Linked DNA regions of Nothobranchius furzeri. The protein of the gene in region 2 purifies or fractionates together with the protein of the main gene of each other region. This does not show direct contact. Links are inferred from orthologs where the notes say so. Each region holds a gene or a part of one and is shown on either strand. Other genes may lie near its edges. The genes, in order: gnl2, lyar and gtpbp4.

Region 1 (9,939 bases), on a different chromosome or scaffold from region 2:
GCTGTGTTCATGACCTAAAACATGCAAGAAATGTGCTGGAAGCAGACCGCAGCACCAGGCATGTAATTTTTTCTAAGTCCACAAGTGGCGGCCAGTCTGAAGTTGCAGATGCGTAGGGGGCAGCGGGGGTATGAGTACCATTGCAATAACCCTGTAAAAAGGGTTATTTCAGCACATATTGGCTCAAGAAAATTATTTTTAAAAAAAAAGAAAAAGTTGCTAAGTATCCCGATGCTGGATGGACCATGTCTCCTGTAAAGTATTTTCTTCCACTGAAACGAAATCCCTCATGACTGCACCGTTCTTTAAACACCTGGAGAATTGTTCTAAAATGATTAAATACGGGGGTTAGTCGAGACGTCAACACTAGATCAATGAGACTTACCACTCCTTTCAGGACAATGTCAGATTCGCTGTCCTCAGATGGGTAGACTACACCGGGACAATCAATCAGAAAGATGCGCCTCATCAAAGTGATGTACTGCCACACCTAGAGTCAGGAGAAAGGTATTAACCATTGGTGGTGCAAGTATGATGCAAGAAAAGGAAATAATAATAAAACTTTAGAGAAAACCAGGAGTGTCTCTCCTTCATTTTAAGGTTTTTGTCTAGTTGGACTTTTTTTGTCAATTGTAAATATTTGCATACAAAAACAAAAAAATCAAAAATAGAGTATTTTGTCTCTTTCAGGGTATCTGCAGGTTTAAGGGAGCCAAATTTAAGACCTTTTAAGACCTTTTCTTAAGGCCACTTTGACCAAATTGAAGCTATTTTTTAAAATAAATTTAAGCTATAATTTCCAGTAGGGATGTCCCGATCACATGCTAGGAAATCGGCCCCGATCACGTGGTTTCAGACTGATCGGGACTCGGGCTTTACTTCCCGATCCGGACTGGGATACTGGGCTCAAATTACAGGAGAGCAACTTGGTTCTCCTTAAAGGTCGTCAGGCTCCCCTGATGTCCTTAACTTACACACCCAGAAGGAGCACAACAAAGATCCAGTTTCTACCTATTTTATATTATTTATATGGACTCAGTGTAGCGGGGATTCTTTAGAGCAGAGATGCAGAGAGCAGCAGGCAGACCGCTGATTATTCATGAACTCCAGCTGCGTTCTGCACACGGCCACAGTAACATTTTCTAAGTTTCGAAGTGGCGTCACCCAAAAATATATAATTAATACACAGTCATTCGTGTCCGTTCATTTTCTCTCTGGTAAGTTCTGTCTGTATTCGAGCATGACGTGTGGACGTGCCCCCGCTGCAGCACTCGTCGCTGGAGCTGCCAGGCAGCGCGGCGCACACTCCGCTTTTTTTGCGGTCAATAGATTAATTTGATCTGCTGGTTAAAAAGTTACTTGTGAGGTGAATACGAAGGAAGCAGGCAGGAGTGTTTCTGGAGGACTGGGAGATGCAGGAAGATCAGAGACAGACAGGACAGGAAGACAGGAAAATAAAAACCAAGAAAACAAAACAAAGTTCTAACAAAATAAAATCTAGGTAGATTGATCCCACTAAATGTTTTTACCTGTATAAACCAATAATTTATCAGCATGTAGTATTTATATAGTTGTTACAATTCAGATCATCTTCAAAACTCCGTCCCATGCCCAGGGACGTATCTAAGCCTTTTGGGGGCCGAGGCAAAATACCCTGCCAGGTATTTTAGGTTGAAGTTGAAGTGCTATCTGTTTTTATATTAGACTTTTTATATTTGCAATAAAGTCCAAAAGTGAAGAATTTATGTTATTTATTACTTGATTGTTCAAGCTACCTCACAGAAGTGATCTGTTGTTAAAAATTAAAATAAAAAGGTAATTAAATAAAAGTCATTAGTATTTACTGACTCATCGTCTATACCTTTCCCACCATTTCAATACAAAATAAGACAAACACAATTTATAAAATTAATTTAAAAGCAAAGTCAATTTCTATTTTGGATTTCAGGTTCTTTGTCTCTTGGGACAACTGGACTGTACCTTAGTCTCTCCTGCGATAGGCGCCACATTGCACACCTTCTTGGACCGCAGAGTGTTGATGACTGAGCTCTTTCCCACATTTGGATAGCCAATAAAACCCACACTTATCTGTTTCTTGTCTGTGTGAAGCTGAAAAAGACAAGAAAGAAAACCTCTGCATTGTTTTGTGACAAATGACTTGATTGACCCCAAAATTCCACCATCGCCGCTCCGGCACGAACTCCGCAGCAAAAACGGTCCCGTTGTAGTCAATCAGAGCAATTCCACTACTGCGGTCGTGCGGCGCACTGCGCCGCCCTCCGTTCCGTCATCCGGCAAAAATAGGATCGATTCTATTTTTGCCGGACGCCGGAGCACCTCCGCAGTAAATGGACAGAAATCACAACCACCCAACAGGAAAGGGAGCAAGCACAGCTTCCGTTATTTCACAATAAATCGATAACAAAAAGCGTTTTTTGTTTCAAATGCACAGGTTTAACAACTTTTAACAACGCGGTTGAACTTTAAATGCACAAAAATAAGCCATAAATACCGTTTCCACTATCAACGTAGTCACACTTTGTTGATTCAAACACTGCTGATCTCTCAACACAAATGATGGGCGGATTAAACGGTTCTTTTCGATGCTTCTCCCACACAACGGGTGTTTGGATCTAACTTCCGCGTTTATTGCTCGGACTGTATCACAAGATCTCAAAAATCCCGCGCATGCCTGTTTGCGCAACTCAGGTCTCCGCACCGGAGCGGAGCCGTTGTAGAGCGGGTACAGTATAATCTGAGTTCGGAAGCGAGCGGCAGCGGAGGGCGGGGGCGGAGATAGTGGAATTTTGGGGTTAAGAGCTGTAATTTTAGATTGGTCCCCTGTTGTCATCACAATAACAACATAGATGTTATTACTCATGAACTTAAAACACAAGAGCAGACCGGTGCAGCAAACTGGAATGTGATATTTTAAAGATGAAGCTGTCATCTTGATAGAATACAGAAGAAAGCCTCATCATTCAACACAAACCACATCATTCTTCAAACCCGCTGGAAGCAGAGTTCAGGTGGAGCAGCTGACAGAGAAACTGATTGCTGCTTATTGATAAATGTGAGTAATGATGGAGAGAAAAAGTGAAAATGTTTCACAGATTTACTCAACTGCTTCAAAAGCAGGAGAGAAAAACTAAAGCAGATGAATATAAATGCAAATAGTTCATAAAAAGCAACCTGAATAACTTTATGGAAAGAAAGAACATTTCCTTAGGATTAAAGTATAATAATGCTCGTGTGAAGAGACCGTGAAGGGTTCTCGTGAGAGATTGTTGTCTGAATTTTATCAACTATTTGATGTGTCAATCAACAATATACTTCACTGCAACTGGTTTGAGCAACGCAGGTGAGATTAGGGGGCGGTGCTTCTGACCTATCGGCCAACAGCTGATGCAGCAGAGGGGGTACCCCATTACCTGTTGGACTAGAAAGATCTTGCAGCTAATAAGAGGATGCTAATGAAGGTTATTGTGGCATCCAGAATTGGTCAGTTCTTCATCTACAGTTTGACCTCTTCAGTATCCGGTCTTAAGGAGTCGGAGCTGCGTCAGCTTTATTCTGAAGGAACCGTTTGCGGTCAGCTGTAGCGTGCGATGGGAGAAGAGTTGTCCTCCGATGGCCAGTCCAGAGTTCAGCTCAACTGACGCACGAGGAAGTGAGTTCTGTTTTAATAATCGCCATATTTTGACTTACTGACAAATCAGAATTTGACACGTAAAGGGGGTTTGTCAACAAACCTCAGAAACCACACCTTGCATCAGATACAGGAGCTCTATTTGTGGACCAGAAAGCAATGTGTCATGAGATTACTGCAACCTTGTCATCGTCATGTGTGTGAGTGTGTGAGCTGTCAGTAGATGAATGATTCACTTGTTAAATCAAACTTTACTGATCACAACATAAAAATATTCATTTCAACTTCAGTAATTTAAGCACAGATTAATCAAAACGTCGTTATTATTCTTCAGCCATTATTGTTCATTCAACCATATGATTATTTACGTATTTCATTACATCATCCAGTATTCGTTATAGCGGTTCATTCTTATAAAAGTTCATTCTTCTTGTTCTGCGAAGCAAAGCAGATAAAGAGGAAACTTGAGAGGGACCTTGGTCAAGCAACAGTATCCTTCTTGCAGATTAAAGGCTCCAGTTAAGACTTACGTCTCCATATGACCGGATACTGAAGAGGTCAAACCGTAGATGAAAAACTGACCATTTCTGGACGCTACATGATGGCGAGTGGAATCTAAAGGAAATGTGGACGTTTTAGTGGTGTTAAATTATTTAATGTAGACTGGAGGTTAATTACTTTATTGGACCCTTGTGGACCAAGATAGTTCTGTTGTGTCGGTGATAAGAAGCTTCGAAAAGTGAGTTACATATTACCTAGAAATTGCAGAGTTGGTGTGTCTAGTTACTGGGGATGTAAGAAAATCTCCATATGGCAATATATCGCAATACTTTTTTCCTGCAATATTATATAAATTTTCAACAGCCATGTTTTGAATTTTCGGAAGAATTTACATGCAAACACTTGTGTATTTTCTTTTATTTTTGGTGCAATTCAGGCACCAATCGCTAGGTGGCAGCAGTGCACACTGGGTTTTGTTTCCACCACTGAAATGTAAATCCCTCAATTATGGTTCAGATACCTCATGTTAAAAATGTTACGTATCAGTTTGGACTGTTTATTGAATTTTCCTACAATAAATTCAGGTTAAAAAACTAAAACAAAAGCTAATACCGCCTGGCTGAATGTATCGCAGTATATCGTGATATGAATTGTACTGTTAGAATTAGTACACATCCATACTAGTTACAGTTGTATCCTTGTTTGGGTAAGTGACAAGAATCCTAAAGAGTGGTTTGACCTGCACGTAGGTAATGTCCGACCCACAAGGCTAATTCATAGGCATGAAAGACGCCTCTAGAAGAACAATCGGTGAAGGGCTCAGCCTACTGGCAGAGGGCAATTAAATCCCCAACCTTAGGATACTGAGCCACTCTCAAAAGCTTAACTCAACATGTTTTTCCCTAAAATCCACAAAATAAAAAGCAACTGAAGGAGGCTAGTGATGACAAACAAAGAGTAAGAAGTTTGGGGAAAACAGGACACTGACTTCATCTTAGAGCAAGAAAATGTACCCAGAATAAGCCAATTTGCACAAATTACCCACATTTTAAACTTGGTTTTGCCCACATAAGGTGGATTACAAATTTTAGATTATTATTTGTGGCGAGTAAAACGCTTTACTGGAATCCAAGCAGGTCGAAATAACCATCTCTCCTATAACATAGATGTGTTTCTGTTTTAGTTCAATCACAGGTCACTCACTTTCTGGCTAGAGGTTTAAACTGAGACCAAAGTGATCAAGATTTTACCAAATAACTTTATATGTGACCTCTCACTCTATGGCACGATCTTAAAATATCAGTTAGCACTGTCTGCTCCTCAAACATGAATTTTAGTTGCTTAGTTGGAGAATTCACTGATTTAAAGGCATTTGTCACATTTTCTTTAGGTGATTATCTGCAGTGGCCATTTTAGATTGGGTCAACTCCAAAAGAGGTGTACAGCCAATAATGACTTTGAGAGTAGTCAGCAGGTGACGGTGACTCAAAACAGAACCAAAAGGGTCAATTCTCTGGATTTTTTCCTGTCACTATATTCTTGAAGTTTGTTTTTGCTTAAGACATGATTAGCTCTTAGACGGGGTTTACCTTCCCAAACTGCCTCAGGAGCTGGATGAGGGAGCCTTTACCAAAAGAGTTAGTCAGACTGGCGTGGAAAGCTAGAGTCGGATACTCTTGGGACAAAACAGCTACCCAACGTTTCTGGTTCAAAAGTAAAAAGAGGAGAGGCAAATGGTTACAACTTCATCATATTTATGGATATCTACAGGATGAATTCAGTTAGTTCCAGTCCAACCCCAGCAAACATCTCACCGTGACCCAGGTGGGGATGAGGTCACACTTGTTCAACACAAAGATCAAATGTTTCCAGGGTTTCTCCTTCTTCAGATAAGTCTCGATGCTCTTGGAGCGCGTTCCCATGGGATCCCGAGCATCCAGCACTTGGATGACGACATCAGACGAGTCAATCACCTGTTAATGATAGGGATGTGAGAGAACACTGATGTACCGGAACTTCACAATATTTTGTGAGGAGCTGTTACGTTTAAAAGCTGTTTATCAATTTTTTCATTGAGAACTTATGTGCAAACAATTCCACCTCCCACTGCTAGGTGGCAGCAGTTTTTATCGTCCTTCAGTCTTGTGGAACAACGAGATCTCGCAACAACGATGGATGTGTGTTCCTGGAAGGGTCTGGCCTGAGTTTTACAATTAAATTCAATCTTGAAAATTGCAAATATCGCCTGGCTTTTAGTATCGCAAAATATTTTATCGTCTTGCCAATACATGCTCCTAATTAAGAATAACAGTAAACAAGAATGATGAAACAGTCCATCCATACAACCCCAACCCACCAACATGACCATTACTGTCCACCATTAAACATAACAGCTGACTTTCTTTTACGTGTGAAACAGCACAACAATGCGTCCCAAGTGTGATACACACATAATTACGTGCATTTGGCCCAGCTACCTCCGCTGTGTTAGCATTAGCATGCTAAATGCTTACTTTTCGCACACGCTGTGGGGTTATTGTGTAGCAGTGAAATGGGTCCCGGCTGAAACACTTTCCCACTGTGAATGTTTCAGACGTTGTCTAGGCTATTCACCAAAATATATGATATGTAGCGTACGGAATGACCAAGCGTATGAAATTTTCATATAATAAATTGGTGTACTGCACAGGCCTAGCTACGATTGATTACTGGGACTCTTGGCCCTATTCCCAATTTTGACTATTTTGAAAGGGACAAATCATTAAAGGAGGATAAAAACAATCTCCTTGTAGTAGGGATGTGAGAAAATAATGATATGGCAATCTATCGTGATTTTTTTCCAGCGACATATCGATATTCAAAAGCCGTGTATCTAATTTTTGGAAGAATTTTCATGCAAACATTTGTGTATTTTCTTTTGTATTGGCGCAATTCAGACACCGTCTGCTAGTTAGCAGCAGTGTGCAATGGGTTTTGTTTCCACCATTGAGATGTTTATCCCTCAATTATGGTTCAGATACCTCATGCTAAACATGTTAGGTATCAGTTTGGACTGATTATTGAACTTTCCTACAATAAATTCAGTCAAAAAAAAATCTCTAATATCGTCTGACTGAATGCATCTCAATATATCGTGCTATATTGTATCGTTTACCCTGTATTTTATCGCCAGAATTTCACCAATACACATCCCTACCTTGTAGAGTTCTCCCCAGATCCTCTTGGACTGACCCTTCTTGAAAATCTCCTCGCGGACTTCGTCCCTGTTGCAGAACCATGATTAAAAAATAATCATCTTCAAACCTTAAAATTGGAGACTCCCAACAACTCCTGAGCACTTACCGGACCCCTGAGTCTTCTGTCACCAAGTCTTTGTCTTTGTCGGCGTCGTAGCTCAGAGCCGAGGCCTCGGCTCTCTCCAACAGGTCCTTCACATCCTCAACCACGAGACTGGGCCGTTTCCTCTGAGCCTTGGGTCCAAATGTGGTCTCGAAACCTTCCGTGTCTAAAATGTGTACCTTTGAATTCTGTACAAAAAAAAAAAAAAAAAAAGAAATAAGACTAAACTGCATTTTACAAGTTTCTCTACACAGTCCAGTGCAGGAGACATATCTAATAGTACAGAAATTTGATCAACAATGCTGTAGTTACCGTATTTTCCGGACTATAAGTCACCCCGGAGTACAAGTTATACCAGCCATAAAATGTACAATGAAGAAGAAAAAAGCATCTATAAGTCGCATTTTTGGGGAAAATTTTATTATTTTTCTTACAAAATCTGAGACCAAGCATTTTACATTGCAAGACAAGTACCGGTAAGTAAGTAAGTAAGTAAAAGTTTATTTTTAGAGCGCCTTTCACAGATATAAATCACAAAGCGCTGTACAACATGATAAAGATCAGGGCAAATACCTCTAACCAATAAAAAAAAATCAGAAAAACAATAGCAGTGATAAAATAGAAAATAAAATCATGAGTATAAACAAAGTGAAGGTGTGAACCCGAACAATAACAATGACAGAATAAACAACCAGGGCGCAGCGGCGCACCACGGTCTCCAGCAGAGGATGGCGGTGTTTCAAACCCTCCCAGCGGGACAGGGGAGCTCATTCCTGGGTCGGAGCCGGCCCGCAGCAGCTCGCCACAGGCGCCAGCAGGTGATGGCGGAGCAGAGGAGCTGAAACCTGGACCGGAGCCGGCCCGCAGCAGCGCGGTTTACATAATTTGGTATATAAGTCACTTTGGTATACAAGTCGCAGGACCAGCCGGACTATGAAAAAAAGTGCGACTTATAGTCCGGAAAATACGGTATGTGCATTAAGCTAAAGATGGAATTAAGTCACAGTGATGGCTGCAGAGTTCTATCCACAGCAAACTGATGTCAAATCAGAGTAAATTCTGGCTTTCCTGAATTAGAACCAGCTTGGATAAAGTCACAGTGATTAAGGGACATACAGGGTACGGTAAACCGAGCACCCAAAAATGCAACAATAGGGCCAGAGACAGAGCTAGAACTGTGCTAATTAAGTGTTCCACTGATCTTAAAACTAAAGCCATACTTCTGTTGCAACAGAGGGTTACAGGTTACAGGGTTCAACAACAGCAACACCTTGAGGCAGGAATCCAAACTAATTCCCCCCACACAGAATTACAGAACCCATAAACAGGTTAGTGTACCCTTCATTTTTACAAGATGTTTCTTTTCATGAAAAAAATGACAGCACATGGCAAAAGAACCAAGACAGCTTTGGTTTAAATAGATGAGACAAAGAAGGCTGGCAACAAAAGAAGTGTCTAATAAAATGCCAGAAGTAAATGATGATTAAAGACAGCCATAAGTTCATCTCACCTCATAAAATGCAATGAAACGAGTTCATGAAAATGCACCGAAAACAACTCGGAATGCTTGATAGGAGCCAGAATGTCAAACATTAGAAACGGGATAAAGCTTCCTGTGCCAAAACCGGTAAAATAAATGACACCCCCTTTGGACAAGCTTACCTGTACCAGCTAGCAGAATGATACCAGAACGGAAAAAGAAAGAGAGGATGCCGTTTAAGGGATGAAGGGTTTATAGTTTGTTTATACTCACGTGGGCTTTGACTCGGTCATGTAAAAGAGACATGGGCAGTTTGCTTTGCCTCATCACCACACGGTATGGATCCTTCTGGACGGCTCCCATCTCATCCTGGAACTTCTGTAGGGATGACTGTTTGATCACTCGGGTATTAACTGGAGAAAAATACAATTTCCTGCTATTAATCACATTCATTAGCCTAGAAATCTGGTCAACGACAAACACTTTACTCTACAGGTTAATCTAGCCACCACTGTATCCTCAGCAGGCCCAACACATTTTAGTTCAGGGCAATCGCAGCCCTCAATGTTTGTAGAAGGACATTGGTTAAGTTTAGCACCAGAGCAGCCACGGAGAAAAACTACAAAGATGGCTCAGGAATATTGGACGTTTGAAACAGCATTGGCATCAACTCCGGATGGTTTAGACTTGGGCTGTTCTTTGAGACATAAGCAGATAGAGGTACCATACTTTAGTTCTTTTCTTTTAAAACAAAGGACACATTTGCTTTATCTTCTTCTTCTACAGGGTATGACGGACTGCCCGATTGACTAATGGGCCATTCCCATCTGTACCGGGTCGGCCCGGGCCGGGTAGCCCCAGTCGGCCCCAGCCTGGCCCGGTTGATTCCACACATCCTTGCCTTAAGTCCATGTGGGCTGATTCTACCCACCAATCAGGGGCTTGCTCTAGTGGAAGGTGCGAATTTGCT
Region 2 (10,459 bases):
CTTAACGAGCAGAAACTACCTATGAATACCCCTCCTTCTGATGAGTCGTTAGCCTCTATTGTGTGGCAGGCTAACCACTCATCACTAACACTAAGGTTGGCTTCACACCACGCAGTCAGCCCCAGCCTGACTGGGTTAATTACACACATCCTTCCACATATCCATAGGAATGCGGACGTGACTGAGCATATGGGCAGTCTCCGAAATTGGCATGATTTCATGAGCGCATCTCTGTGCAAGTTGGCAGGGCAAAAGATGCCCAGAGAAGTATGTGGCGTCTCCCATAAATTAAACAAAGGTGGCTGTGTTGCTCTTGGAGACTGACTCTGATATTGCATCCTGCTCTGCTGTGTCTATCCTGGCGCAGCTCAAGCCTGGCAGCATTTTTTGTGTGTCTGTGTGTTCTCAGAGAGAGACAGAATGAGACAGCTTCAGTCAGAGGCATTGTTTCCTCAATATCCAGAATGATAAGGAATCCTGCATGTGGGATGCCTCCGCTGGCTAATTTTATCTGCCAATCTGAGGCACCCCATAATGGTAGGCGGGATTTTGAGCCAGCCAATCAGTCGGCAGTAGGTGTGTTGATTCAGTTCAGTCCGAAGCAGACCTTCTTGGGAAGAGGGCTGAAAAAAACGACCGGTTGTGCACGGAAGAAATCCAAGCTATGCGGATGTGAACACTTCTTATCATATTCAGGCGGAGTGGAGCTGGGGCGTGTGGAAGCACTATAAGCAGAGAGGCCCAGAATTCCCTCTCCCCAGCCACCTGGGTCAGCCAGGGTTTGCTTAGCTTTATTTGATTATTATGTAATAAATATATTGGTTATGAACTTGTTGTACTAGTTTTAATGGTAAAACAAAATCTTAAACCTTATTTTTGATTATAATCAGTCACTCAGTTTTTCACACAGGCTGAACATGAGGACATTCTCCTACACCTGTCTCCTGCGTTAGCTTCTGATAGAAAATAGACGATGAAACTATAGGATTTAAAAATCCCGACATATCTACGTCACACTGTCATTTAACGCTCATGAACTCCCCCATCTTGACTAGTGACGGGGAAAGCTGTTGTTGATTTACTGCCCGGGAAACAGCAGAGAACATCTCGACTAGCAGAAGCCAACCACTAGCATTAGTAACTCCACCACAAAGCAGAACTCCTCCAGGCTTGTGTTATTTGTGGAGATAAAACATCAACGTTGGAGTAAGTGGTAGAGTCACCTTGCTGTCATCCAATCTGAGGCGAGATGTCCAAATATCAGTTAATAAGACTCCAAATCCTGTCGTCTGAAGCTCATCCCTGTTGTGGCTCACTTCCAGTTCCTGAAAATAGTGCACTGATGCTTTTTTCCCTCAGAGTACGACTTACATGGCATTCATGTCTACTAGAGACCGCTCCAATTATACTGATTAAATGAGTGTTCCGCACCTTAAAAATATATGCAGAAAGCAGTGCAAATGCAGAATGTAGGCCTGTGTTTAGTGTCCAGGGAGTAAAAGCTGGTCACTTTGAAAAATACATCTTAACACCCAAATGTAGGGAAAAGTTGTCAGTGTAACTACATAAAACACACACACACACGCACGCACACACACACAGTGTGGTCCTTTAAACAGAGATGGCTTCTTACCACAGGTGGCACAGCTGTGTGGTTTTCCTCCAGTGTGACGAGCCTTGTGCTTCAGAACCTTTCTGTGTGTGTTGAATGATTTTCCACACTGGTCACAGGCAAAGCTCGTGTCAGTTGCATGAGTCATTTTATGCTCCTTCAGATTGCTCAAGTTGTTAAATCCTGCATAACAAGACACGTCAAAAAGCACAAAATGCTATTTTCCAACTAAAGCTTCTACTAGATGTCAGCCGAAGAAAAAACAATGAGCAATTAGAAAACTGAGACAAAACTTTGAGGGATGCAACCTACCTCGACCACATATATCACACAGATGGGGTTTCTCTCCTGTGTGAACCACTTTGTGACGCTGGACATCTCCTGATGCAGTAAAGCTTGAAAAAACTCAGTTTTAGACACTTAAAGACACATTTTAGACTATAAATATGAAGTGTAGTAGTAGTATTAGTAGTAGTACTAAAAACGTATAATTACCTTTTACCACAGAGCTCACAGATGTATGGCTTCTCTCCAGAATGTCGCCTCAAATGTGTCTGTAAATTTCCTGCCTGTAAAGTAAAATGTTACATTAATCTCCATTTAACCCAATAAATACATAATTATAAACCAAAAAAATACCTGTGAGAAGTGTTTTCCACAAATACTGCACTGGAATGGCTTCTCACCTGCATCAACAAAATAATTAATGGTGTTATTGTACATGAGTGGGAATATTAAGCCGTAATAACAGGTAGTACCTGTGTGCGAGCGCTTGTGCAGCTCCAGGTTGCTCGGGTGTTTAAAGATCTTCCCACAAACTTCGCAACAATACTGCTTGTGTCCTGTTTGCAGAGTGGGCTCTGGCACAGGCTTTAAGTTTGTCTTCTTTTGGTTTATAGGAGGAGGACTGGGAAGCTCAATGTCTGCTGCCTCTGAAGCTTCCCCTCTATCTGCAGGGCTGCATTCTACTGGAGGTGCTGGGACTTCACTCCGAGTGATGTTTTCTTCTGAATGGATCTCTTTGGGACAAATGTGGATGGGCTCGATGGCCGCCTCAGTGCACATCTCCTCCAGAGCCTTCTGAGACCGGAGGTAGTTATATTTCTTCAAGTACACTGTCTTCTTGGGACGAACGGTCTTGTTGATCATGGAGTCAGTTGGATCAGAGTTGGAGGTGTTGAGATTATCTGATGGAGTCAAAGACGAGACTGTGCTCTTTTCAGCTGGCACAGATGTACAAGAAAGGTTAGGTTGAGGCACGTTTCCAGAGGTTACAGGAGTGTTGTTTCGACTCTGGCTCATTCCAAGCTGCTCTTCTGATAACACTAAAGGACCTGGGCCCTGGTTTGAAGCTGCACTACTGGTTTGCAGAGCACTTTGTTTGAAGTACTGCTTACTGTAAAAATTACGGAGCTTATATCCATGAACCAGCTGTTTTTCTACAGGTGCATGAGAGCTGCTAGGTATGTCACCATTTGTGCTGTTGCTAGGCAGAGAAACTGGTATCCTTCTTGTGTGGTCCAGGTCACTGTAAAAATTTGGCCTCTGGGATTCAGAGGTACAGTGAAGGTCAACATCATGTGGAAGACCACTGCCCAGAAGACAGTCATGCTCTGAGCTCAGCATGCCTGGGAGGGAAAAGGAAGACAACTCTGCGGGTGGGGGGCAAGGCTTGAGGAAGGCGTTACACATGGTCTGCACATTTGGAACCTGCAAGCTCTGGGCAATGTCCAGAAGCGCTTGTACGTTTTCTTGGTTAACGTCGAGATGGGAGGTATACATGTAATCCAATATTTGACCAATGCCACTGACATCCTGGATAACCAGGTTGAAAACGTCGCTCTTCTGACTTGGAGAGTTTTGGAACAAAGACCTGGAGAAATCCAATTATAAAACAACTCAATCATCTATAGAATCGCAACATGATTAATAGAGAAAGCTAAAAAATACAAAAACATGTGGATTTTTATTCATTAAATTGACTTTAGGGCACCTGAAATAGGAACTGAAAGCAGCCAGGACATTTTTGTGGGCTTTGAAGCAAACACCTTTAACCACCAACATGCAGTCACAAAGAAGTCCCTGAATTCTTTGTTCCTGGAGCTGCTGGAGAAGGTATGAGCTGTGGCTGGACAGGGAGTCCATGGTCACTCAGCTATTGGACCTCTCTCAACTTCAACCTTACATCAGGGGAAAAAGAAGAAGAAAACAGCTTATCTGTAGCTAATGGGTAACAAACAGCTAAACTGGGTTACAAATGCATTCTTCAGCTGATTCTGGATAAACTTTTGAACTTCATATTTTCATCTATTTTGTTCTGTAAACAGCAGATTTCCGCTGGGCCGAGTTACGAGACCAGCCATGCAAAAATAACAAAATGTCTGCACCAAGCGATCGCAGCAGTGCGTAGGAAAATTGGCTGAACGCGAAATTTCTTTAAAAAATAATGTTTTGAAAAGTAAATAAATTAGATTAACTGCCAACAATCAACTTTAGAAATAAACAAAGCCAACAACTCCCTTAATACATTCCTACCTTTCATTGGGATGATGGGTCACTAGACTGTGGTGACTTACGTCACTTCCTGGTACAGCGCCTATTTCGAAACATGAACACAGATAAATAAATATATATTCTGTTTTAATAAAAGGAATTACATGCTTGTAATTTTATTGGTTAAGGTAATCAAACATTTTTGGCATAATGTTTCCTCTCCCAATCTTTTAACGTTATTTTAATAATTGTAGGAACGTTTCTTTGGGAGCATTTTCCTCACGGAAGGCTAATAATGTAGGATTGAATTGCGTGAAGTATACACGTAGGGAATCAGTAAATGTGCTTCTAGGTGTTTTTTTTGAATCCGATAACTTTTATAAAAGCAACGTATGTTGTTCATCCGCTTGAAAATATTAATTGGCAAATATTATTTTCTACTTTTGTTAGTAGGTTTATTTTTTGTTGTCCACATTTGACCGTTAGCGCGTGCCAAGTCTAGTACTGGGGGATTGTTCCACATTGAGCATCAAACGTTGTTTTAACTTGCTTTAAGAAGCTAAAGGCACCGAGACACAGAAGTCACTGAATTGCTTTTAAAATGGTGTTTTTTACTTGCAACGCGTGTGGTGAATCGTTAAAAAAAGCTCAGGTTGAGAAACACGTGAATATGTGTCGTGGTTGCCAAGTGCTGTCCTGTATCGACTGTGGAAAAGACTTCTGGTAATGGCTGGCCGAGTGTTTACAATCCATAGATTTCTGTTCACAGACTTTTCTTAGTGTAAACTCTTCCATGCTTTCTACAGGGGTGATGACTACAAAGATCACAACAAATGTATAAGTGAAAATCAGAAGTATGGAGGGAAAGGCTACGAGGCTAAGGCAAACAAAGGAGATGTGAAACAACAGCAGTGGATTCAGGTAAACTTCTCTCACCGAACGGTGGTTCCTCCATCCATCCATCCATTTTCAGCCACTTATCTGGAGTTGAGTCGCAGGGGCAGCAGCTTAAGCCGAAAGGCCCAGATTTCCCCCTCTCTGGCCACTTGGGTCAGCTTCTCTGAGGGAACCCCAAGGCCTTCCCTTAGGTCTCCTCCCAGTTGGACGTGCCTCATCAACCTCATCAAGGAGGCGTCCAGGAGCTATCCTGACCAGATGCCCGAGCCACCTCAACTGGCTCTTCTCGAAGTGGAGGAGTAGCGGGTCTACTCCGAGCCCCTCCCGGATGACTGGGCTTCTTATCCTATCTCTAAGGGAGAGCCCAGCCATCCTGCAGAGAAAACTAATTTGGCCGCTTGTATCGCCGATCTCGTTCTTTCGATCACTACCCAAAACTCGTAACCATAGGTGAGGGCAGGAACGTAGATCGACCGGTAAATCGAGAGCTTTGCCTTCAGGCTCAGCTCTCTCTTCACCACGACAGATCAGTACAACGCCCGCATCACTGCAGATGCAGCAACAATTCCCCTATTGATCCCACGCTCCATCTTTCCCTCACTCGTGAACAAGTCCCTGTGATACTTAAACTCCTCCACTGGAGGCAGGACCTCATCCCTGACTCAGAGAAGGCATTCTACCTTTTTCCGATTCAAGACCATGGTCTCGGGTTTAGAGAAGCTGCTTTGCACTCTGCCGTGAAACGCTCCAGAAGAAGTTGGAGATTACATTTTGATGAAGCCAACAGGACCACATCATCTGCAAAAAGCAGAGACCTGATCCTCAGGCCACCAAAACAGATCTCCTCAACAACTTGGCTGTGCCTAGAAATCCTGTCCATAAAAGTTGTGAACAGAATCTGTGACAAAGGACAGCCAGGGCGAAAACTACATTGTTCATCCTGAATCTGGCCTTCGACAGTCCAACAGACCCACCTTTACAGAACCCCTGAATAGACCTTTCTAAGGAGTGTGATCTCCCTGTAGTTGAAACACACATTGCAGTCCCCCTTTGTAATTAGGGGGACCACCACTTCAGTCTGCCAATCCAGTGGAACTACCCCTGATGTCCACGCGATACTGCAGAGCCGCATCAACCAACACAGCCCCACAACATCCAGAGTCTTAGGGAACTCTGGGCTCATCCACCTCCAGAGCCATGCCACCGTGGAGTTTTTTTTTTGGTGACCTCAGTCCCAGAGATTGGAGAGTCCATTCCAAAGTCCACAGACTCTGCTTCCTCCCTGGAAGACGTGCCAGTAGGATTGAGGAAGTGTTCCACCCATCGATTCACAACGTCCCGAGCTGCTTGCCCCTCCTGAGATGCCGGATGGTGGACCAGAATCTCCTTGAAACCATACGGTGGTTTGTTGTTGACTGAAATATTTTGTTAAAATTCAGACTTTATGTATCTTTTTTTTCAGAGAGTACATGAAGCCATGAGCAAACCGGGTATCAGTGCCAAGCTGAAAGATGTGCTTAGACAAGTCAGTACGTATGATAACGTTCCAAGAAAGAAAGCGAAGTTTCAGGTTGGTACAACTGTGAACAGTAACAGTTATTTTCATTTGACGGTCATACACAACTGGATCTCCTTTCAGGTTGAAGGCATTAAGATACAATGATAACATTGAGCAACAATACCCTAAATTCATGATGCTGTTCCCACTAGAAACAGTGAAAGACACTGTTAAAAAGCAAATATACTATTCAAAAAATTAGGTAAAATCTAATAAATGACTAAATAAGGCATCTCATTCTCTATAATACAATCTTTAAAAGTGCAGTCTCTAAATTATAACATAACTAAATAACTATTCACTTAGTACTTCATGGGGCAGCAGCCTAAGCAGAGAGGCCCAGACTTCCCTCTCCCCAGCCACTTGGGCCAGCTCCTCCGGGAGAATCCTTAGGTGTTCGCTGGCCAGCCGAGAGACATAGTCCCTCTGGCTTTGGGTCTCCTCCCGGTGTCCAGAAAAACCTCACCAGGAGGTGTCCTAACCAGATCCCCGAGCCTCCTCGACTGGCTGACAATATTAATCCTGTTTCCTCTTTAATTCTAGTGCATAATAATAATAATAATTCATTGAACTTATATAGCGCTTTTCTAGACACCCAAAGGCGCTTTCACACACTCTCACATTCACACACTGCTAGTGATGGTAAGCTACTTGTAGCCACAGCCGCCCTGGGGAGGTCTGACAGAGGCGAGGCTGCCATTTGGCGCCGTCGGCCCCTCTGACCACCACTAACACAGGCAAGTTGGGTGAAGTGTCTTGCCCAAGGACACAACAGCAGGATACCCCTGGCGGGAGCTGGAATCGAACCCATGACCCTCCGATCATGAGGCAGCCCGCTCTACCACCTGAGCTACTGCTGCCCCATGGCATAAGTGTCTGACTGGTTTTTGTAAAGACATTTTGTTTGTTCTTTATGTGCAAAAGTCCATAATAAGGACGCTTTCATTTTGAACACCTGTAAACAATAATGATATAATTCTATAAAGGCCTAAACATGATTACATTTTTATAGTGCCGTTCTAAGTCAAGGGCTTTGCTTTACACACACTTACAAAGCCAACTTCTAACCCTCGCGTCACTGTCACTGACTTACTTCAGACAAAGTATTAATTTAGCAAAAAAATAGCACTTTTTATCCAAATTGCTGTAGCAGATTTACAGACAAAATTGTGGTTTTGACTTTTTAAAGTTAAATTATACCATGTAACAAGTCCATTCCTAGTAAATAGTTTCACTTTGTGAAAGTTAACCATTTTATTTTCTTTCTTTTTAGAATTGGATGAAAAACAGCCTTAAAATAAACAACACGAGTCTACATGATGAAGTGTGGGAGATCATTTCTGCTGCAGACGTAAGTTCTGAGGGTTCTTGTATGAATGGAAGGCAGCAGTAGCTCAACAGGTTGAGCGGGTTGTCCAGTAATCGGAAGGTTGCAGGTTTGATCCTGGCTCCGGACAGAGAATTCTGCTGTTGTGTCCTTGGGCAAGACACTTAATCCACCTTGCCTGCTGGTGGTGGTCGGAGGGACCGGTGGCGCCTGTGCTCGGCAGCCTCGCCTCTGTCAGTGCGCCCCAGGGCAACTGTAGCTACATTGTAGCTCATCCCCATCAGTGTGTGAATGTGTGTGTGTGAATGGATGAACGATACACTGTAGTGTAAAGCGCTTTGGAGTCCTTACTCTGAGAGGCGCTATACAAGTGCGGGTCATTTATCATGTTGTCAATGCAGCTTTCCACTGAAGTTACAGCCCTGACTTGAGTCCATGTTTGTTTACTTGTTGGGAATAATGCTGAGTCCTAATTTCATTGGTGAAAGTGGCTGAAAACATGCTTTTGATGACAATCTATCAGTTAGAATTTGCCCGCTACTTAGATTTTTGAAAGTTATTAAAGTTTTTCCTTTGTTTCTACAGTAAAAACTTATAGCATTCATTAGTTTTCTATTTCTGTATTTTATTGCTGAAAAATGCCAAGAGATCAGAGATTTTTTTTGTCCTGAATAAATCTAATCTGACTGACAAAGTCTAGATTTCATTAAAAAAAAAAAAAGAATAGGACAGCGGGTTCTTTAGTGAGGTCCTGATCAGGAGAGACTTTATTAATGGAACACTTTCCAGATTTGCATCTAAACCTTAAACTTGGTTTATGGCTGAAGTTCAGGCCACCTGAACAAGAGGAAGGCTGGAAAGCTTATGTAAGTGTTTGCAACACGTTAGGTCTGACTTACTAAAATAAATGAATATTGTTTTTGTCACCATAATAGAAAAAAAAAGAGACTGATGGATGAAATCTGATCATTTATCGAGTGGAATTTGACAGATTTCTTTATTCATTTATTTTTCTCTTATTTACCTTTATTGATTGCTACATCATCAGCCACTTTATCAATTAGTGTTTAAAAGTTAGCCTCCCTGCTGCTGTGGTTTTACATAACCACAGAGGCTTCGGCACTAATATAAATACTGACAAAACCTTATGGTGGTGTGAAAAGCAAACTTAATGATGCACACCACTTCTGTGCAATACTGTAAGCATCTCATGCACACTTTTAAACAGATCACCACTTTGTGAGTGTCTGAATAAGCCCCTAAAAACAATAATATTCTATAAATGACTGAACTAACTTTGACGGACCGATAAAGCTTCTAATCAGATGTTTATCTGGCTTTTGTTTCTTGTTGGTTAATAAAACAGGTTTTAGTTTAACTTTCATTGCCCTCTCATCGTCTTTCAGGCTCCTGAGACCAAACAGCTGACTAACGGAAATAAAGAACCAGCAGCTGAAGTCCAGTTAGACACTAATGGAACTGAAAATCAGGGGGACCAACCCGAAACTGGGGAGAAGAAGAAGCTGAACAAACGGGAGCGTAAAGAAGCTCGTCAGCAAAAGAGTGGAAAAACTACAAAGTGTGACAAGAAAACAGCAGCTGAAGAGCCAGAAAAAGACCAAACGGACAAGAAGAAAAAGAACCAAAAGCGAAAACACCAATACGAAGAAGCAGACGGGGAAGAGCAGAACGAGAACAGTAATGACTATCAGAGTTCTCTCAAGAAAATCAAGCGTAAGTGTAGACTTTTCCTTATATTGACTGTTTTGACATGCATACTGTCCATCACTGAGCAGCATGCATGTTTTGAAAAGTACGTAAATCAAAGTCCTTTTTTTGTGAAGCAGCAGAAGTTTCTGACGTTCTCATGGAAGAGGATGCTGGGGAGCAAGCTGTTACTCAAGGTAAGGTGGTTTAGTAGTTCACCCTCAGAACCAGTCAGGGTTGGAACACATTTGTTTCATAGTACTTAGAACTGGTACTAAACTTAAAAAATGTTGGTAAAACCAGCAGGTGTCAGTGTTGCCTTTTAGCTCATAATGAGGAAATGACCCTCAGACAGTTTCATTTGTCTTGAAAATTAGATTAATGTTTCTGGTCCAACTTTCAGGCAAATTCAACTGGAAAGGAAACATTAAAGCTGTGCTGAGAGAGTCACCTGACCAAGAGCTGCCAGTGAAGAAGCTCCGGAAGAAGGTGAGGCACTATGGGTCGTTTCTGTGTGCATTAGTTTGGTGTTGCCTGTTAGTCTAACAGACCCCTGAGCACATTGTGCTTGTCTTTGTAAAGATATATTCAAATTAAGACTTGACATTATTTAAATAACAAGTCCTATCGTGTTGTCTTTCAGATTTTGGCTGCATATTATGCTTTCACCGGTGACAGGAATCTCAAAACAGAAGAGGACTTGTTGGTGCTTTTCAACAAGAAAGTCAATAAAAATCCCAAATTCAGAGTTTTGAAAGATCGAGTCAAACTTCTAAATTAGACTGTCTTAGAATGTAATAATTAAAATGTCCATTGCTACAATTCCATGTTGTACCTTGTATCTTTTTATACTTTTGACACAATC
Region 3 (10,545 bases), on a different chromosome or scaffold from region 2:
ATGAGCAGCTACAACACATAATAATCTTTCCCGTGACATCGTGGCTTTCGACTTGGACAAATTCCACACATATCCCAACCTGAACCTGATGTCCAGACAAACTGGAGTGGGCACAACCTCCCACATCTGCACACTTTAATCTGATTTGACCACATATAATGTCTTTCTTCTCTTGTTTTAGTGGAGCTGGTGCAGATCCCCAGGTGATCCCTGCGTTACTAGTCCATCAGAAGGCCACAACTGGTCTGTGGGAGGAAACTAATATGTAAGAGAGGGTGATTTATTATCTACACAGAAATGTCACAGCTGGGAGTTAAACCTGCAACCTTCTAGCTGTGAGTCAGCAGGAAAGTAATGCACATTAAAAATCTAAATCTTCAATAACACTTTATCCATCCATCCATCCATCCATTTTCTGAAACCGCTTTGTCCATGTGGGGTCTTGGGGGGTGGGGGGTGGGGGGGGGGGGGCTGGTGCCTATCTCCAGCGGTCGACGGGCAATCAGGCGGGGTACACCCTGGACAGAGAGCCAGTCTATCGCAGGGCAACACAGAGACACACAGGACAAACAATCATGCACACACACACTCACACCTAAGGACAATTTATACAGACCAATTAACCTAACAGTCATGCTTTTTGGACTGTGGGAGGAAGCTGGAGTACCCGGAGAGAACCCACGCATGCACAGGGAGAACATGCAAACTCCATGCAGAAAGATCCCAGGCCGGGAAGCAAACCCAGGACCTTCTTGCTGCAAGGCAACAGCTCTAACCACTGCGCCACTGCGCAGCCCTCAGTAACACTTTATCTACCTTTAATTTTCTCTACGCACCAATCTTAGAGCTGCGGAATGGAAATGGCGCAAAACAAAAGATCCTGGTGATCTATTGAAATTTCAGGAATTACTGTCCTCATTCTCTATCAGCATCACTGTTGCAAAGAAAGCTTTCTACACTGACAAAATTCTCAGCTCTACTGACTCTCAGAAACTATTTTCAACATTCAAAACTCTGCTCACCCCTCCATTTCCACCTCCTACCAACAATCTATCAGCTGACACCTTTGCCTCATTCTTCACTGACAAAGTGGCAGCTATAAGCAAACAGTTTACTCAACTGGACACTTCTGAACATTCACTACCACAAACTCCTTCTAGCCCAACCATCTCAGGCACTACTGCGTCATTTTCCTCTTTTCCCCTCTCACTGAGAACTGTGTCCAAGCTTCTCATGTGCAGCCGCCCTACTACATGCCCACTTGACCACATTCCGACTAAAGCTGCTCCAAGCTACTGCTCCTACAGTAGCCGCAGCAGTCACACATGTGATCAACGCTTCACTGACATCCGATACATTTCCCACCTCTCTCAAGCATGCTCAGGTTAAACCGCTGCTAAAAAAAAAAAAACATCTCTTCCTCCAAATCATGTGGAGAACTACAGACCTATCTCTCTCCTCCCTTTTCTGTCCAAAATAATTGAAAGGGTGGCTTTCAAGCAGATCACAGAATACCTCTAACAAAACTGTCTGCTTGACCCTTACCCATCTGGATTCAAAAAGGGCCACTCCACTGAAACTGCTCTGTTAGCAGTGACTGAATCCTTAAAAGAAGCTAGTGCAACAGGCAAATCCTCAGTGCTTATCCTGCTCGACTTATCGGCTGCATTTGACACTGTCAACCATGGCTTCCTTTTGTCCACACTCTCTAGCATGGGCATCACAGAGAAAGCACACGCCTGGTTAGAATCGTACCTCACAGGATGATCATTCAGTGTATCTTGGCTTGGACAATCCTCCACCGTGCACCATCTTGCCACAGGAGTCCCCCAGGGCTCTGTACTAGGACCTCTTCTCTTTGCCATATACACCACCTCACTGGGTGAGATCATTAGATCACATGGCTTCTACCACTGCTACGCAGACGACACCCAGGTCTATCTGTCATTTCCACCGGATGACCACACTGTCTCTGCACAAATATCAAACTGTCTCTCTGACATATCAAAACGGATGAAATCCCACCATCTCCAACTCAACCTCTCTAAAACTGATCTACTTGTCATCCCAGCAAAACCATCCATACAGCACAATATCTCAATCCAAAATGACTTCCTATCTCTGGCTCCTTCAAAGGCAGTTCGAAATCTGGACGTTGTGATTGATGAACACCTGAGCTTTAAAGATCAAGTTGCCTCTGTGGCTCGTTCATGCCGCTTTGTGCTGTATAACATACGAAAGATCAGACCATACCTAACACAACATGCCACCCAGCTCCTGGTGCAATCTACTGTCATCTCCCGCCTCGATTACTGCAATGCCCTTCTAACTGGTCTTCCAGGCTGTACTGTGAGATCTCTTCAAATGGTCCAGAACGCAGCGGTGCGTCTGATCTTCAATCAGCCAAAAAGAGCACACGTCACCCCTCTGTTCATTGAGCTCCACTGGCTACCGCTAGCAGCACGCATCAAATTCAAATTGCTAACACTAGCATACAAAGGCTGAGATGGTACGGCTCCCATCTACCTGAATCCTCTTGCAAAGGCTTACGTCTCGGCCCGGCCGCTCCGGTCATCACAGGATCGTCGGCTAGCAGTGCCTACACCACGCCCAGGACAATCCAGACTCTTCTCATGCATCGTTCCACAAATGTGGAATGACCTTTCAAGCACTACCAGAACTGCGGCTTCCTTTTCAATTTTCAAGAAACTCCTGAAGACCCTGCTCTTCAGAGAGCATCTTCTTAACTAGCACCCTCCCTGCACCCATCCCCCTCTCTACTGTCCACTCCTTGTTCCCTCCTCTCCATGACTGATGTCAATGTTGTTGTTGTTATTGTTGTTGTTAGCCTCAAGGGCAATATGCCGATCATCACTTGTAAGTCGCTTTGGACAAAAGCGTCTGCTAAATACATAAACATAAACATAATTTTCTGGGTAGGTTGCAAGTTGATATGATTGTTATGAAATATTAATTGTCTGATGCTTTACACCTAAAAGAATTAATGTGGTGCAGGAAAACCTTCATATGAGATTCATCCGTAAATGGTTGACTCCACAATGGTGGTGATGAGCTTCATTGTAGCCACAGCTTCCCTGAGGTGCAATGACCAACCACCACCAGCAGGGAGTGTCTTGCTCAAGAACGCTGCAACAGACGGAGCGGGACTCAAACTGGCAACCCTCCGGTTACAGGGCAGGAACCTAAGTCCTCTGCCAATGTGCATGAGGACTTTCAGATATAAATAGATGTAAATCCAGCTTTCTTACTTTCAAACCCTGAAGTCATTGACAAACATAAATTTACAGACAAGAACTCTCCTTATGAAGAAAGTGAAATAAACTTCACTTCTGTCAGTGTGCCCCTGGGCAGCTGTGGCTACACTGTAGCTCATGAACACCACATGACTGTGTGTGGGTGAGTGACTGGCTACGCTGCAAAGTGTCTTGAGGGGTTTTAGAACCTTGGAAGGGTTTATATTTAATACAGGTCATTTACCATTTATAATTAAGTAATGTTCCTAAAGACTTGTTTATAAACCAACCAATATGCATCTTTGATCCCTGGTTGATTTTTACAAATTATTTTATTACAGGTTTGTATTATTTTGCAAATTATTTTCTTTTCAATTACTTGTTCATAGTAGTGACTCATTTATTACAGAGTGCAGATGTCATAATTCCTTCATTATTTTCTATTTTATTTATTAGTTTTATAAAATGTATTATTAATTATTTGTACACCCAAATAATTCAGCAACATTGTGCTTTTGTCCAAATCATATTTCTTCTACCTCTCTTCTCACCCCCATTTAAAATACAAAACACAAAGAAGAAAGAGGACAGAGTAAACAAAGACAATTATCATAGTACAATTTATTTCTGAGTGGACACAAAACTCAATAATTCATTGCAGTCAGTAGTTTCTGATCAATGTGCCTGCCTCTGAATACTTAGATTGTTTAAGTCTGTTTTGATTGCTTGTAGATATTGTACATGAGAACAGTCATTTGTCTTTATGTCTAACTGATTTATCTTTTTTTATTCTTGTTTGTTTGATCTTATCTGCTTTTCTTTTGTGTAAAGCAAATTGTCTGTCTGTTGCTGCTGCCTCTTGGTTAGATCGTCGTTGCAAATGAGAATGAGTTAAATCATCTGGTTAAATAAAAAATAAATAAAATATACCACATCCCAGTTTTGTTGAACTTCTTCGTGGTAAACCCCCAGCTGTTGGAGTGAGACCTCCTTAAAATTTGGGATGTCTTTGGTGCAGCTGTCAGGGGGCTCGACCCTCCGCCCCTTCGTCTTCGTTCTTGCAGTGTGCTCCCCTGATTGGTCCAAACTGCACGCGAACCTCACTCGTGATCAAGGAGTGTAGGCGTGGCCTTGAAACACCACTGCACTCCGATTGGTTGTTTGGTGATTAGCGCGGGTCACAACAAATATGTTGCGCCCCCATAGACATGTTTTCATCGATGGTTTTCATGTAAATTGTACCTCCGTCCCCTTCCATGTAAAAATAAAAATGTACACATTGTGAACGCAATGAAGTAAAAGTGAAGGTGTCCACATAAAGATTAGAATAAAACACTTAAAAATATTGAAATACCTAGGAGAAGGTTGAGTTTCTACATTTTAAATTAACCAGAATTTATTTGTATGCAACAAAGTTCAGCTGAGAATTTTTCCAGTTAAGTTACTAAGTGCACTAAGGTTGGTTGAATGTTTAAATAGACTTTTAATAGACGTGTTATATTCTAAAAGTATATTGGCATAGGCTTTCAAAAATATTTTACTTGAGCACAGCTAATTTTAGCTGACTTTAGTATGAGTGTTTTGTCTTAAATAGTACCAGGAAGTATAAAATCAAATAAAAAATCATATGATGCCATTAGAAGTTGCGTATCAGCTGTTTATTTTAGAGTTCAGCCCTTTTTTAATGTTTGGGGGATGTTTACATGTTTCTAATTGCTGTGTGCACTTATGGCCGCTAGAGGGCGCCGAGCAGAAAAGTTTCCAGTTTCTGCTGGTGGTCTCAGACTGACTCGTTTCCGGTTCCTCTCCGTGCCGTCGGTGGCCCTAAACGTGTCCTGACAAAATGGCACTTTATAACTTTAAAAAGATTATGGTGGTTCCTACCGCCAAGGTGAGTTTTATTCCACGATTTCCGCTTTTTCAACTCGGCTTTGACCATGCTCTCGCGGTTAGAAACGACCGTTGGTTGATAGAAATGAAAACAGTTAAATGGAACGAAAACACGTGGGACAGCAACAGATCATTGGATGAAAATCTGCGAGAACAGTAGATTTTTACCTTAAAACGAATAGGACACGATTTATTAAACTAAACGAGGTTTTCCTGCGTGTTTACGTAATGTCTGGGATGATTACACCACTGTTTGAAAAGTAACGAGCTCCTCAATTTTTTGTTTTAGCTAGTAGCTACCAGTAGTCGTAAATAAAATCTAACTCTGCTTTTTAATCAGATGTTTGTAATTTTAAGCGTTTCAGTTGCTTAAAATGTGTTCTAAAAGCCCAATCCAAAGTAAAGAAGATCATATAATAAAACGTTTCAGTTTGAAGTGTTTTTGAAAAATGACTTGATAAACATTGTTTTCTGTCAGCCAGAGGCTTGGCTGAACCTTGCAGGATAACAGAATGTCTTAGAGAAAAACTGTCTTTGTGGTCTCAGGTTATTAACCAGTGCACTCTTCATGTCTGCAGGAATTCATCGACATCACTTTATCCAAAACACAAAGGAAGACGCCCACGGTGGTCCACAAACATTACCAGATCCACCGCATCCGACACTTCTACATGCGGAAAGTAAAGTTTACCCAGCAGAACTATCACGACCGGCTCACGCAAATCCTCACAGACTTCCCAAAACTCGACGTAGGTCACCGCCCTTTACTCATCTGGAGGCTGATTGTCTGATTTCTGGGATTTGTTTGTGAATTTGGTCTGTGTGTCTCTCCAGGACATCCATCCTTTTTATGCTGATCTGATGAACGTGTTGTATGACAAGGATCACTACAAGCTGGCCTTAGGACAGATTAACATCGCCAGAAACTTGATTGATAAGTAAGTTTGGACTTCAGAGAATGTGAACATGCATCATGCAGTTTACAACACCCTGTTTGGGTTATTGACATATAAGCAATCCTGAGGTTTCGACATGAATCAAACACAAAATTAATCAGACAGTTTAAGTTTAACCTCTGTCCCTGTGGGGTTGGTGAGGTGTTCAGGTTTTTTCTGCTTTGCTAAAGATTTTTAAATTCTGTAAGAACACATAAACCTACAGAGAAGACCATTTAGGCAGTAGAGTTCTGCTGTTAAACAACCAGTGATTCTAACAACAGAACCCAAAATTTCTACAAACAAGTGATTTTTGTTTTTTATAACCTTCCAGCGTGGCGAAAGACTACGTGCGCTTGATGAAATATGGAGATTCTTTGTATCGGTGTAAGCAGCTGAAGAGAGCTGCTTTGGGCCGAATGTGCACCATCCTGAAACGACAGAAATCCAGTCTGGAGTATCTGGAGCAAGGTGATGAGTTGTTAGTGGGAAAACTTTGTGATTAAACATCAGTTTCTGCTGCAGATTCCTGTGGTTTAAATCTGACTTCCTGCTCCTACAGTTCGTCAGCACCTGTCCCGTCTGCCGAGCATCGACCCGAACACCAGGACCCTGCTTCTGTGTGGTTACCCCAATGTGGGCAAATCCAGTTTCATCAACAAGGTCAGCTACAGAGATCATTTTTTCATAATTAATGTTGACTGAGACCAGCTTTCCAAGCATGGTACTAACTAATGTATTAAATCAGCCTGGTTTCCCTTCTTCATTAAAGAAAATGTGAAATGTTCACCTCACTAGGTCACCAGGGCAGACGTTGATGTCCAGCCGTATGCTTTCACCACAAAGTCTCTGTTTGTGGGTCACATGGACTACAGGTACCTCCGCTGGCAGGTGAGATTCTGCTGCTATTTTACTGCATTCATGAACTCTGGTGAACCTGAAATATTTGAAGAAGGTTTATTGTTTTCTGTTTTCTGTTCAGAGTAACTTAAAGAGCAAGTCAGCCTCAAATCAACTTTTTTTTTTTTGCTGATAAATACCGTTAATCCTCTAATACAGGCCTGGGCCTGTATTTGACCCAAGCTCACCAAGCTCCAGGCCTTTATTGGAAGGAGGACCAGAATTAGAGACAGGCCTCAATTTCTATTTGAGCAAAATGAACTAATGGTTCGCTGGAGTTTTTGACAATTAAAATTGCGCCCACGTTTTCAAAGTTAAACACATTTCTTTTAACAACGGTAGTTTCTGCTTCAGCCCCCTCCCCCTGCGCAGCGGCTGCAAACTCACTGATGAGCCTGCAGCCTCTCGGAGTTCCTGCTGCTCTAAACATTAAAATAATTATTTCATTTTCTGTTCCTCACTTCTGATTACCGTCAATGGTGTCTGTTTGTTGCAACCACCAGGTACAAAAACTAACTTGTTTTTATTTGACTATTTTTCTGTCCTGCCTGTTTATTATCTTCCTGCATCTCCTCTCAATCCTAAAGAAAAACTGCTACCTGGCTTCATATATATTCATCTTATGAGTTACCTTTGAACTGCAGTTCTAAAAGATTTACCGACCGCAAAAACAGCGGAGTGCGCGCTGCTTGCCGGCCACATCAGTTAGGTGAGTCACCGGAGGACAAAACAGGTGATGCACCCCGATCCACAGCAGCGAAACGCATCAGGCACAAATAAAATAATTTAAAAAACAAAAAACATAAAAGGAAATGAGCCAACATGAACGATCGCGTGTTAAATTAGTTTTTGAGGTGGCAACACCTGATTTGATAATGTAACTGTGGCCGTGCTCAGGACGCAGATGTCTGGAGCGTGTCAACAATCAGAGCTTTGCATGCGCAAGCTGGTTAAGGTTAGGATGGGGTGAGGGGAAGGTTAAATTGCAAGAGGGTAAATGTCACAATTTGGTTAAATGTCCGTTTTACGGCGGGGGTCAGTGCCGACGCTCTGGCACAGCGCGTCGCCTCCCAACACGCAGGAGCTTGTCACCTGCTGACAGCAGGCTGCTGTCTTTTCCGAGGACTGTATCTTGCCGGTCATTATCACGTGACAGCGACTAGTCGATGACGGGCATAAAAAGTCACTATAGAGCGGTGAAGTCGACTAGTGACTAGTTCATACAACCCCTGCTACTGCTCCCCAGAGTGTTCTGCAGCATAATCAGCACGTTCTCTTTGAACTTAATATCAAATTTTCGCCTCCTCTTCATCTCCGCACGGTTAAAGTTACCCTCGCGGTCTATCACTGGCAAATCAAAAGTGAGACGGATGACACAACTGCCCCCCCCCCCCCCCCCCCCCCCGTGGTACTTGCTTGTTACCACATTCCACCCGGCCACAATAAAAAAACGGCCATTATTCACCGACTCTGACACTGGCCAGAATATGATACCCAGCAGTTAATTATATACAGGCCAATATTAGAGGATTTGGTATATAAATGAGTGTCTAATCGTGCTGTAGACATGTGTAGTTAATAATTTGGCACTTTAGTGCATCTTAGTTACAATTTTAATTTTCTGCCTAAAACTGTCATTATTGCACCATCTTCAGGTAAAAACTCTGCACTGCATGTGAATTTAAGTCTGCCATCGCTATTGGCTAAGCGGTTACACTATGATGTTAGCTGGTACATTATGATGTCACAATGTCATCTTGAGCCTTTGTTTGTGTATTTGCTAGCGGCTACGCCTTCTCGGTCTGCCAGGCAACAGCATTTGTTGCATTTTTCAAACAGAAAGTGGGAGTGGAGTAATACTCTGGCAGGGGGTGACTTGCTCTTTAAGTGTTCAAACTTTACCTTCAAGTTCCGCTTATAAAACAGCTGAAACCGATCAGGAAGTTGTTTCTGGTGTCCGCTCTGATGCTCTGCTGACACGTGTGTAGGTGGTGGACACCCCCGGTATCCTGGACCATCCCCTGGAGGAGAGGAACACCATCGAGATGCAGGCCATCACGGCTCTAGCTCACCTTCGTTCAGCCATCCTTTACGTCACTGACGTGTCTGAGCAGTGCGGACACACCCTGCAGGAGCAGCTGGAGCTTTTCAACAACATCCGGCCTCTGTTCACCAACAAGGTCAGACTCCAGAGCTGTTACAGACTAGATGGAAATGCACATTTAGTTGTTGCAATTTAGCTACAAAACAACTTAATCAGTTTAAAACTCATCTTATTTGCTTCGTTCTCTCTCTCCTTTTTAAGACTTTCAGACTTATAGGAAGAGACTAGTTCCAGATGTTTGCAGATGAGGTGCCACAGCTTCATGTTGTGAGAAAAAATATTACAAACATTTAGGGAAAATTCAGCTTGCAGTTTGTCACCAGCTGTCGCGGCCGAACGTAAACCTGTCAGAAAACTTTAAACAAAAGAAACAAGCAGTAGCTCAGGGGCAGCAGTAGCTCAGGTGGTAGAGCGGGTTGCCTCATGATCGGAGGGTCATGGGTTCGATTCCAGCTCCCGCCAGGGGTATCCTGCTGTTGTGTCCTTGGGCAAGACACTTCACCCAACTTGCCTGTGTTAGTGGTGGTCAGAGGGGCCGACGGCGCCAAATGGCAGCCTCGCTTCTGTCAGACCTCCCCAGGGCGGCTGTGGCTACAAGTAGCTTACCATCACTAGCAGTGTGTGAATATGAGAGTGTGTGAAAGCGTCTTTGGGTGTCTAGAAAAGTGCTATATAAGTTCAATGTATTATTATTATTAAGAGTTTAGACCTTTAGGACGTATGGGACAGTGTGTGGTGCTGTCCAGGCCGCCACAACTTGTGTCGGAGGTAAGGGCGTGTCCAAGTCCTCTGCTGTGTTTTATGTTTGATTAAAATAACTCGTAAGTGTGGGAGGAGTCTCTCGCTGGAAAGGGTCTCTAGTCTTTCCTCTAATTCCAGCCTCACCTGCACTGGTCACACGCCCTATCTGACAGAAACGCAGCAATCTGTTGCCTCAAAAACCATAAAAATATTTGCTCCGTTCATTCAGCTGACTCCAATCTTGCTGGTTTTTCTGCAGCCTCTCATCATTGTTGCAAACAAATGTGACGTGAAGAAGATCAGTGAGCTGTCGGAGGAGAATCAGGTGTGATGAAGACCTTTGTGCCACCAAAGCTCGTCTGGTTGATGATCCGAACTCAACCGTTTTCTTTTATTGAATGTTTTTCTTCAGCTAAACCTTTAGCGTTGTTTCTCTGACCCTCGCTGCTTCCTTTTCTCCGTCTGTTGCTAGAAAATCTTTGCGGACTTCACGGCGGAGGGAATCCCCGTCATTGAGACGAGCACGCTGACGGAAGAAGGAGTCATGCAGGTTAAAACTGAGGTGAGATCAGATGATCTTCAGGCTCATTTCCTCCCGGCTGAAGGTGTGAGGCATCATATCAAATGCTCGTATGCTTCTCAGGCATGTGACCAGCTTCTGGCTCACCGGGTCAACACCAAGATTAAAGGCAAGAAGGTCCACGATGTTCTGAACAGGCTG

What was found.
Region 1: the proteins of lyar (region 2) and gnl2 purify together in Homo sapiens (affinity purification with mass spectrometry; 3 studies listed by BioGRID and IntAct, with this or other methods). This does not show direct contact. The link is inferred for Nothobranchius furzeri from reciprocal best matches to the Homo sapiens genes LYAR and GNL2.
Region 3: the proteins of lyar (region 2) and gtpbp4 purify together in Homo sapiens (co-immunoprecipitation; 3 studies listed by BioGRID and IntAct, with this or other methods). This does not show direct contact. The link is inferred for Nothobranchius furzeri from reciprocal best matches to the Homo sapiens genes LYAR and GTPBP4.

What each region holds. Positions count from the first base shown.
Region 1 is NC_091745.1:70,687,439-70,697,377, reverse strand, and holds part of gnl2 (nucleolar GTP-binding protein 2), read right to left. Parts: intron 9,383-9,939; coding exon 9,243-9,382; intron 7,678-9,242; coding exon 7,493-7,677; intron 7,414-7,492; coding exon 7,347-7,413; intron 6,124-7,346; coding exon 5,965-6,123; intron 5,854-5,964; coding exon 5,740-5,853; intron 2,110-5,739; coding exon 1,981-2,109; intron 491-1,980; coding exon 386-490; intron 1-385. UniProt on the Homo sapiens protein: GTPase that associates with pre-60S ribosomal subunits in the nucleolus and is required for their nuclear export and maturation.
Region 2 is NC_091743.1:56,226,131-56,236,589, reverse strand, and holds lyar (cell growth-regulating nucleolar protein), read left to right. Parts: upstream 1-4,391; 5' UTR 4,392-4,706; coding exon 4,707-4,828; intron 4,829-4,911; coding exon 4,912-5,026; intron 5,027-6,464; coding exon 6,465-6,572; intron 6,573-7,833; coding exon 7,834-7,911; intron 7,912-9,293; coding exon 9,294-9,621; intron 9,622-9,731; coding exon 9,732-9,791; intron 9,792-9,997; coding exon 9,998-10,083; intron 10,084-10,237; coding exon 10,238-10,375; 3' UTR 10,376-10,416; downstream 10,417-10,459. Other genes in the region: zbtb49 (zinc finger and BTB domain-containing protein 49), read right to left, coding at 1,634-1,795, 1,925-2,007, 2,108-2,181, 2,252-2,298, 2,371-3,485, 3,606-3,757. UniProt on the Homo sapiens protein: Plays a role in the maintenance of the appropriate processing of 47S/45S pre-rRNA to 32S/30S pre-rRNAs and their subsequent processing to produce 18S and 28S rRNAs. Also acts at the level of transcription regulation.
Region 3 is NC_091751.1:36,524,651-36,535,195, reverse strand, and holds the start of gtpbp4 (GTP-binding protein 4), read left to right. Parts: upstream 1-4,999; 5' UTR 5,000-5,097; coding exon 5,098-5,145; intron 5,146-5,722; coding exon 5,723-5,893; intron 5,894-5,978; coding exon 5,979-6,082; intron 6,083-6,413; coding exon 6,414-6,550; intron 6,551-6,641; coding exon 6,642-6,742; intron 6,743-6,877; coding exon 6,878-6,970; intron 6,971-8,967; coding exon 8,968-9,159; intron 9,160-10,083; coding exon 10,084-10,149; intron 10,150-10,296; coding exon 10,297-10,386; intron 10,387-10,467; coding exon 10,468-10,545. UniProt on the Homo sapiens protein: Involved in the biogenesis of the 60S ribosomal subunit. Acts as a TP53 repressor, preventing TP53 stabilization and cell cycle arrest.